2 linked regions of the Arabidopsis thaliana genome follow. The protein of the gene in region 1 interacts with the protein of each later gene in a pairwise test. Each region holds a gene or a part of one and is shown in the gene's direction. Other genes may lie near its edges. The genes, in order: IDH1 and AT3G05250.

Region 1 (4,866 bases):
TACCAATACTGGGACTACCTCAAATACTGTAACCACTCTGATGGCTGAAAATGCTAGCGCGATCTTGAAGAGAGCTCGTAGCGAAGTGAGACTTCATACCATGAATCAGGATGAAACAAAGTCCCTCTCTAGAACCCTGAGCCACAAAACATTCAGTGAGCATCCTCTTTTCGAAAATCCACCTCGGTTACCGGAGAATAGTAGCAGGAAGTTGAAAGCTGGAGGGGCCTCAAAAGTGAAAGCCACATTTGGTGAAGCCAAAGTACGGTTTACTTTGCTTCCTACTTGGGGCTTCAGAGAGTTGCAGCATGAGATTGCTAGGCGTTTTAACATAGATAATATTGCACCCTTTGATCTTAAGTACCTGGATGATGACAAGGAATGGGTTCTTCTGACATGTGAAGCGGATCTCGAGGAATGTATCGACATTTATAGATCATCACAGAGCCGCACGATCAAGATAAGTGTTCATGAAGCTTCTCAAGTCAAGCTGGGAGGTTCTTTTGGTAGCATCGGTCTTGGTCCCTCGTTATAAGCTATCAGGTATAAGGTTGTTACCTGCAAGAAAAGAAAAGAAAAGAGCAGGAGATTCGACTAATTTACTAGTGTGTTAGAAAAATATTACTCACCATTTTATAGCAATGGGCATCGTTTGTAAACATATTTTCAGTGCCCCCATTTTGCAAGCAGCAGTAGTGGACTGGTTTCCTGCATCGGCTTAGCAGATTTTTTGTATAATAAGGCGATGCGTACCAGAGAAACATGCTTATATGTATGTATTATTATTGTCTGTACATCATTTGTCTTCTGGATTCTACTAAGCTCTGCAAGTATGTTAAATTGATATATCTTCTACATCGTCACTTGTATTTATTTTCTTACTTAACTATGCATGAAATTCTTAAGGGTGCTTTTTGGGGCATCAAAGCTTACTGTGTACAAACATTACAGTCAATAAGGAGTTAGTATTCAGAAAGAAACAAGAAAAAACATTATGCCAGTTTGAAAGTAAGAAAAGGCTAGACGTTTTACTTATATAGGCAATGATAGTCATATAAACACAGAAGCTATTTTTGGCAGAAAAAGTAGAGAAGAAAGTGTATACTTGGATGGTGAGGACACATGATATTTATAGAGATTCTCTTGGTTTTTAAGCAGGAATATGTGTTCAAGAGAGAGAACCACCTAGTGGAGTGATCTTCCAAGTTCCTAACCAGAGTATCTCTGTTAAATCCTCAAATCAGTATTTGTTAAAGAAACAAGTAAGCCTGCAGACAAAAGGTTCTCGTTTTGGTTTGTTTTTGTTTCTTTCTGATTCAGTGAGTGACACAAAGGAAGATATTGATCCTGAACCTATCATTGCCACCTAAACTTCAGAGACAGGAGAAAACAACATGGAAAACAAAAAACCTATGTCAAGAGAATCAGACCAAGTGTACCTGATTGTACCATTTGGTACTAAAAATCAGGATGACGAAGGAGTTGATTCACGTGACTATGCTTCGAATCTCTTAACATTGCCAATCTCCGTGTTTCTAAGACTTCTTTCACCAAAGCCTTGATGAAATTCGAGGGTGCAAGTTATGATTTTGCAAATAATGTAGTACTCTGCATGATCAATGATTTTGCGGCAATTTTGTAAATATCTGAAGTGAAAAATAAGCAAATGTCAAACTAAATTAATTACTGAGTAAATGTTGATGAAGTTAAATGATTGGGGGGATTTGTATAAATATCTTAATTGACGATTCTGAAACAAAGTGGTCTAATCGGTGATTATCTATTGTTTTATGGAAATATCTTAATGAGATGAAGATTTTGGGGCGAATTGTGTAAATAACTAAATTTTAACAATAAACGCTTTTCGTCCGCCTCCAGCTCCCAAAAGCCAAAGGGCGAATCTTCTTCTTCTCTTTCGATCAAATCTTTTCAGATTCAACCCAAAATTGAAGACAAAAATGTCTCGCAGATCGCTAACTCTCCTCAAGAATCTAGCTAGAAACGCGAATGGATCAGGTATTCAAACCCGATCCGTGACTTACATGCCCAGACCCGGTGACGGAGCACCACGCGCAGTGACGCTGATCCCCGGAGATGGAATCGGTCCTCTGGTGACGAACGCCGTGGAACAGGTGATGGAAGCGATGCACGCTCCGATCTTCTTCGAGAAGTACGATGTTCACGGAGAAATGAGCCGTGTGCCGCCGGAAGTGATGGAGTCGATAAGGAAGAATAAGGTTTGTTTGAAAGGTGGGCTTAAGACTCCTGTTGGTGGTGGTGTTAGTTCTCTTAACGTCCAGCTTAGGAAAGAGCTTGACCTCTTTGCTTCTCTGGTCAACTGTTTTAATTTGCCTGGTTTACCTACTCGCCATGAGAATGTTGACATCGTTGTCATCAGAGAGAACACTGAAGGTGAGTACGCGGGGCTTGAGCACGAGGTTGTTCCTGGTGTCGTTGAGAGTCTGAAGGTGAGAATTCCGATTTCTGCTCCTCGTTTTGGATTCAATCTGTATTTGTGGAATCATCTTCGTTTGCAAGTGGTCTTTGTATGTTATGTGTGATTGTTCTGATCCTATTTCTATGCTTAGGTGATCACGAAGTTCTGTTCGGAGCGTATTGCAAAGTATGCTTTTGAGTATGCCTACCTGAACAACAGGAAGAAAGTTACAGCGGTGCATAAGGCTAACATCATGAAACTTGCGGATGGTTTGTTCTTGGAATCTTGTCGCGAGGTTGCGAAAAAGTATCCCAGCATCACCTACAATGAAATCATTGTTGATAACTGCTGTATGCAACTTGTAGCCAAACCAGAGCAATTCGATGTCATGGTATGTTTCAGAGTTATATACATATGAATTTTCATGACGTTCTTTAAGTCTTCGATGTTTTACTTTGAGAAAAAGATACCAGTCATCTCTCCCTAGTTTGGTATCCCTCTAGATTGCCTGTTTTAGAGTCATATTATCTTATTGGTATGAGACTGATGTTGTGTTGCCATATACTATAGTTAATCGCCCCATTTGCATACTATTTAATCTCGTCATTTGCATATCATGCTTTCAGGGAATCTTTTAAATTGTACTTCTGTGACCTTGTCTATGTATACTTACTACTTTGCATACACTATTGTTCGTTAGAGCAGTAACTTCACTGTTGCTAAGTATTAACCTTTCATTACTGTATGTAGTAGCGTCTTTTGGCTTTTCCCCCCTTTTATAACAGCAATTTATGAAATGTTTTGCAGGTAACGCCGAATCTCTATGGGAATTTAGTTGCAAACACTGCTGCTGGTATTGCTGGAGGCACAGGAGTCATGCCTGGAGGTAAAAAAACATCCTGTATTGATATTCTCTCGAGCTATACATTAGTGGATAAAGAATAGTTCTAAAATTTATACATCTGCGACATTAAATACAAAAACAGGAAATGTTGGGGCTGACCATGCGGTATTCGAGCAAGGTGCATCAGCAGGAAATGTTGGGAAAGACAAGATAGTATTGGAAAACAAAGCAAACCCAGTGGCATTGCTTCTCTCATCAGCGATGATGCTTAGACACCTTCAGTTTCCTTCATTTGCTGACCGGCTCGAAACAGCAGTGAAGAAAGTCATCGCTGAAGGAAAGTGCCGGACGAAAGATCTTGGTGGAACAAGCACGACTCAAGAGGTCGTTGATGCGGTCATTGCAAAACTAGACTGACTTTGACAAATTACGTGTTCCCGCTCTGCATAAATCATCAAATTCCTGATACAGATTTTGTGTTGCCAAAATATGGGGTATGATCCAAGCACAACGGTTATCTGGTTTTGTACCTCGAGTTTTATTATATTCTTTAGCCGTGGAATATTTCGATAAGAAAAAAAAACATGTTCCAAATAATTCATGTTGCTACGTTTGTTGGCGCCTTTTGTCATGTCAAAGTTTCTTAAACACTTGTTCGTGGAATATGCAAACTTTTATGGATTCGTAATTTCAAGAATATGAATGAAAAATTGATGGTATCTTTGATCACCTCGAATGGTGGTTTCTTAAGAGCATCCACATTGGTTAATTTTTGATGGATGTTTTTAAATATAAAACTTTATTTTAAGAGGTTTTTGAGTAGTTAAGAAACTCTAACGTGTCATTGTGTGTGTGGTTGAACATTGTGACAACATCATTTATTTATTTTTCTTTTCGCGTTTTTCTCTCTTTTTTAGTCCATATGATTTTTAATATATATATCATATTTGTTTAAAATTTTAATATTTGTATTATTTATTAAGTTTTATAAAATAAAATATAAATAATTTTTATTTTAATAATAATATATTTTTTTAAAAGACCCACTTAAACATTAGACCAAAAAAAATTAATGGTCCAACAAAAACACTTTAATTTTTTATAATTTAAAATTTTAAAAAACCCTTTTAAGGGCTCAACCATTGGGGTTGCTCTTACTCCAAGTCTTTAATTTAATTTGTGAATTAACATTGACTAATTTTAAAATCACTTGAAATTGTTTCATCGGATTTGGGATGTCACATTTGGTACCCGGCAAGTTCGAAAATGACTTTTAAACTTTGACACCTCTTGCCTCTTGGTAGAGTTTTGGATGAGGCTTGAAACTTTTGTATTGCAGCCCATAACTGAAAATAGTTTATTAGTATAATATATCTTCTCAACAAACATTGCAAATATTTTGAAAATCCAGCTAAAACTATACCCGATCAGAATTAGAAAATTTGAGCCCAAGCCCGGCCCGTAAGTATTATTATAGAAACCGATATAAAGTTTCCTTTTTCTTAATAATATTTATTCCGTGGCAGCAAATGCAAGCCAATCCAATGTCAAAACACCAGCTGACGTGGCCAAACGCACATCAACT
Region 2 (4,739 bases), on another chromosome or scaffold:
AAACTAATTCAAAAGTACTATTGTTCTCTTAGAATCAAACAAAACTATTCTTTTTAGTGATCTTAATTAGTTGTTAATGAGGTGAAAATCACGACCTCTTAATTTAAAATAAGGTTTATAACGAGGTCAAGTAGGACCCTGAATTAGAACATTGTTTCAACAGAACTATGACCTAAAACTTTATCTACCCTTTTGCTCTTCATGGATTCTCTAATTAGCTTAACATCAGCCCATCGGCCAGCTTTGGCGTATATATTAGATAGAAGAACATAGATTCCGCTACCAAGTTCTTCTGGCTCAGCAACCATGGATCTTATCCGATCAGTGAGCTCGAGATTTTCATGTATATCACAACCATTTAACAATGCACCCCATATATTAACATTGGGTTTTACCGGCATAGTCTTTACCAATCTCTCTGCCTCTTCAAAACGACCAGCACGGCTCAAGATATCAACCATACATCCATAGTGTTCAACTGTTGGTTCTAAGCCGTGAAGATCTCTCATTTCTGCAAAGTATCTCTGTCCTTCCTCAACTAAACCTATGTGGCTACACGCATATAAGACCCCGAGATATGTGATTCCATCAGGTGTAGCATTACCTTTCTCTTGCATCCTCTGGAATATACTCAATGCTTCATTCCCGTGGCCGTGACTGGCTAACCCAATGATCACAACGGTCCAAGCTATTGTATCTTTCTTCTCCAGATCTTCAAACGCTTTTTTTGCGCTCTCAGCATCACCGGTTTTAGCATACATATTTACAAGTGCACAAACTATGGCAGCATCCTTCACAAAGCCGGTTTTCGATACATAAGCGTGAATCGATTGTCCCAATTGTGAACATCCTTGGATCATGGAAGCTCTGATAACACTCAAAAAGGTTACTTTATCAGGAGCTATACCCAAATCAAGCATATCCAAAAACATACACAGTGCTTCCTCTGCATCACCGTTCTGACTATACCCTGTAATGATGGAGTTCCAAGAAACCAAGGTTCTCTCAGGCATTCCATCGAACAGATACCTCGCAGTTCTCAGATCTCCACATTTAGCATACATATCAATGAGACTTGTAGCCAAAATCACATTGAATCCAACTTTGGACTGAAAATATGGATCAAAGCCTAATCCTTGAAGAAACCCATGAAACCATTTCCCAGTCACAATGTCTTTACATCTACCACAAGCAACCAAAAGATCCACCATTATTGTCTCATTTGCCTTCACACCATTACTCTGCATCTCCCTAAACGCCTCAATAGCGTCACTAAACCGATTGTTATTCACAAAACCAGAAATCAAACTTCCCCAAGCAACAACGTTCCACTGAGGAATATCCTCAAAAACTCTCAAACCATAATTCACTTCTCCACAACACATATACATATGAAGCAAGCAAGTAGAAACATACATATTCACTTCAAACCCAGTTTTCACAACAAACCCATGAACACAACTCCCGAATTGAATATCCCTTAACCCAGAACAAGCCTTAAGAACATAAGGAAAAGTGAAATAATCCGGAGAATAACCTTTTCGAAGCATTTCTTGGTAAAAGATCAATGCTTTATCTGGATTTGGACTGTTTGAGTAGCCTCTGATCATAGAGTTCCATATATAAACACTTGGACAATCGATACTTTCGAAAACTGATCTCGCGTAGCTGAGATTCATAGTCTCAGGACAAGTAGTGCAGAAATCTATGAGTCGGCTTAGAGGAATGACGTTTCTGATAACTGAGGATTTGATCATTAAACCATGGAGTTGATTCAGTTCCACCAATGATCTGCAATTCTCTAGCTGAGAGAGAATTGGTTTGTAGTGCTTCTTCATCATATTCTTTGATTATCATGAAATTCAAAGGCAATGTTTTTTTTTAATTCTGGAACCATAACAAACAAAAACTCATCAAAGTGACGGGTAAATTTTGGTAATTTAAAATAGTTTGGGTTTATTTTGAATGTTGAAAGAGTTTAAGGATTATTTTGAAAGTTTCAACAAAAGAAAAATATAACCTGTGTTTAGTCACAACGACGCCGTAACGCTGAATCAGCGCCAAGCGGAGAGAGACCTGAGTCAGTGAGTTGGTATGGCGGCGAAGGAGATCGCCGGCGGGAGCGGTTCTATTGACGATGGATCCGATTTTGATCCATGTCCTATTTGCCTTGGACAATTCCTCCGTGAATCCTACCTTGATACCTGTTTCCGTACGCTTCTTCTCTTTTTCAGTTTTCTGTTAAAACTTGTGGTTAGATGCTTCTTGATTTCATCTAGAATTTGAAGTTTTGAGTGTGTATTCAAAGATTCAATCTTTTTTTTCTGTGAACAATTTAATCAGATTGATTAGTTAATTCCAAAAAGAGATTAGATTGATTAGCTCTTGTGTATCTTAGATAGACCATAGTAGGTTTATGGTTAAGGTAATGACTGAGACCTTCGTCCATGAACTGATTAGAACATATATGTTTGTTTTGATTTTATGTTTTGTTGCAGACAAGTTTTGTTTCAATTGTATAAAACAATGGATCAAAGTTGTTTCAAGCAAGGCCTCTAAGCAACGTTCCTCAGTGACATGTCCTCTCTGTAAGGTCTGCTTCTTGGAAACGCTCTTTTCTGCTCACAACACCTTGAAGAACTTGTTTACAGGAATGACCATAACTTATGCAGACAGAGAATTTATCCATCATCCACAACTACGATGGATGTTCTTTTGAGCGGCATTATATCGACCCGAATATTCCAGATGGGTAGGTTAGCTTGTGGTTTCCTTGATTTGAATATATATGTGTTCTGAGAATTTCGTGATATCTTACTCTACTTTCATCTTCTTGTTTTCAGTTTTGTATTAACAAAAGAACAGAGATACAGGTTGCAGTGTTACTACACCGAATCAGGTTTTTCCCTTCTCTGCACTTACTTTGAGATCAAAACACACTTGCGCATAATATTCAATACCATTACAATAGTTGGGAATCCGTTACTCGATTTAGTTTGGAATAATAAACTGATAGAAAGTAGATTCAAATGTGTTTATCAATCAAGAATGAAAGTTTTACAAGAATTCCCTTCTCTTTCTCGGTCTCTTTGTGGTCTTAACCAGGTTTCCTCGCCGATGTATTCGATGTTGCACGGTTTTGGAAGCTGCAAAAGTTTCTCCAGCCGAACCGGTGCCTTGAAGCCTGGTTGAGGAGGGAGCTTCAAGCTCTGATGCAGGTTTGCTTCTGTACAAAATCCCTTTCATGGATATTTCTGCCTTTTTGCTGTTATCTTCTTGTTCAGTTGTTCGCAAAGATGATTTTGTTCTTTGTTTGCTTCAATTTTTTCCCTTGTCTATAGGAGGAAGATGTTGATATTGTTCTGCATCATTTGGTCGGTGTGATGGAATCCTTCTGCAAAAGGTAATTGTTTTAAGGAGAATGTAAAAACTTAGAACTCGTGGGTATATATTTTGATTGGCTAGAGTTTTAACTGGTCAAAGTAGAAGTTTGATGTTTTGCTCATGAATAGTCTCTATTTCTCTCATATTCAGAATCAAACAGAGACGCAAACAAGAAACAAGAAGCGCAGAGACAACAAATCAAGAACAATTCAAAGCAGTTGTCTCAGAAGCAGCACGTCCATTTGTAATGGCGAGAACAGACCGATTTGTGGATGAACTTGAACTCTTTCTGGCCGCGGGACTAAACTTGGAGGCTTATGATGCAATCTATAAGCAGGGTTTAGAGGGGAACAACCGAAGAGAGATCGGTGCAGCTAGTGAAGAAAGAGAAGAAGTGGAAGAACATAATGTAAGAACACGAGTGACTCCTTATTTGTTTATCTTCGAGGAAGACTCAGACTGAGACAAAACACTTATCACTTCTGTACCATATAAAGAAACTCATAACTTCGATTAATGATATACCAGTTTCGATTTGTTTGTTTTACTTTGTGTAATGCTAACGAAACCAACCATACCATTTTATTCTGTTCTCTTTTGTTTTCTTCATATTATTCTTCTTTTAAAAAAACGACAAAACAACATATCACCTTATTACATCACACGACTATACTACTGGATATACTCTCTTTGTAAGAACTTCCTAAACAGAGTCATGTACATAAGCACTTATTGCAAGCTCAAGCGTTCACGATAAGACCACCTGCACAAAAACACGTTTGTGTTATAATAGACGAAAACAGAGATCAATTTGTTAAACCAAAGAAACAGAGGACTCTGATGGAATGCCCAATCCGGTCTAACCACGTCAAATTAGAACTTACCGTTTGGATGGAGGATTTGGCCGGTGTAGTAAGATGAGCAATGGTTACAAGCCAAGAAAACGTAGGAAGGAGCCACTTCCACAGGCTGAGCCGCTCTTTTCATCGGTGTCTCTGACCCAAACTGTTTGATCGCTTCTTCAGAGAACGATGCGGGTATCAGTGGAGTCCAGACCGGACCAGGAGCGACACCGTTCACACGAATGCCCTTTGGTGCAAGCTGAAGAGCTAACCCACGTGTGAAAGAAACGATGGCTCCTTTCGTAGCTGTGTACTCTAGTAAGCTTGAGTTTCCTGCGTATGCAACAACCGACGTCGTATTGATGATGCTGCTCCCTTCCTTCATGTGCTTTAACGCATATCTACAATAAATTACGACCAATTAACTCTAACCGGATCAATTAGTTTCAGAACCTAAGTTCGAGTTTCAGTTTTTTTTTTTTACTCACTTAACCAAGAAAAACTGCGAGAAGA

The links.
Region 2: the proteins of IDH1 (region 1) and AT3G05250 interact in a two-hybrid assay, tested with the Arabidopsis thaliana proteins (one large-scale study listed by BioGRID).

What each region holds. Positions count from the first base shown.
Region 1 is NC_003075.7:16,773,326-16,778,191, reverse strand, and holds IDH1 (isocitrate dehydrogenase 1), read left to right. Parts: upstream 1-1,820; 5' UTR 1,821-1,958; coding exon 1,959-2,468; intron 2,469-2,588; coding exon 2,589-2,828; intron 2,829-3,244; coding exon 3,245-3,323; intron 3,324-3,423; coding exon 3,424-3,698; 3' UTR 3,699-4,050; downstream 4,051-4,866. Other genes in the region: AT4G35270 (Plant regulator RWP-RK family protein), read left to right, coding at 1-535. UniProt on the Arabidopsis thaliana protein: Performs an essential role in the oxidative function of the citric acid cycle.
Region 2 is NC_003074.8:1,493,541-1,498,279, forward strand, and holds AT3G05250 (RING/U-box superfamily protein), read left to right. Parts: upstream 1-2,031; 5' UTR 2,032-2,094; coding exon 2,095-2,212; intron 2,213-2,498; coding exon 2,499-2,593; exon of another isoform or gene 2,594-2,666; coding exon of another isoform or gene 2,667-2,672; coding exon 2,673-2,752; intron 2,753-2,843; coding exon 2,844-2,899; intron 2,900-3,105; coding exon 3,106-3,218; intron 3,219-3,341; coding exon 3,342-3,403; intron 3,404-3,534; coding exon 3,535-3,847; 3' UTR 3,848-3,983; downstream 3,984-4,739. Other genes in the region: MEF19 (mitochondrial editing factor 19), read right to left, coding at 144-1,841; AT3G05260 (NAD(P)-binding Rossmann-fold superfamily protein), read right to left, coding at 4,125-4,147, 4,269-4,627, 4,715-4,739.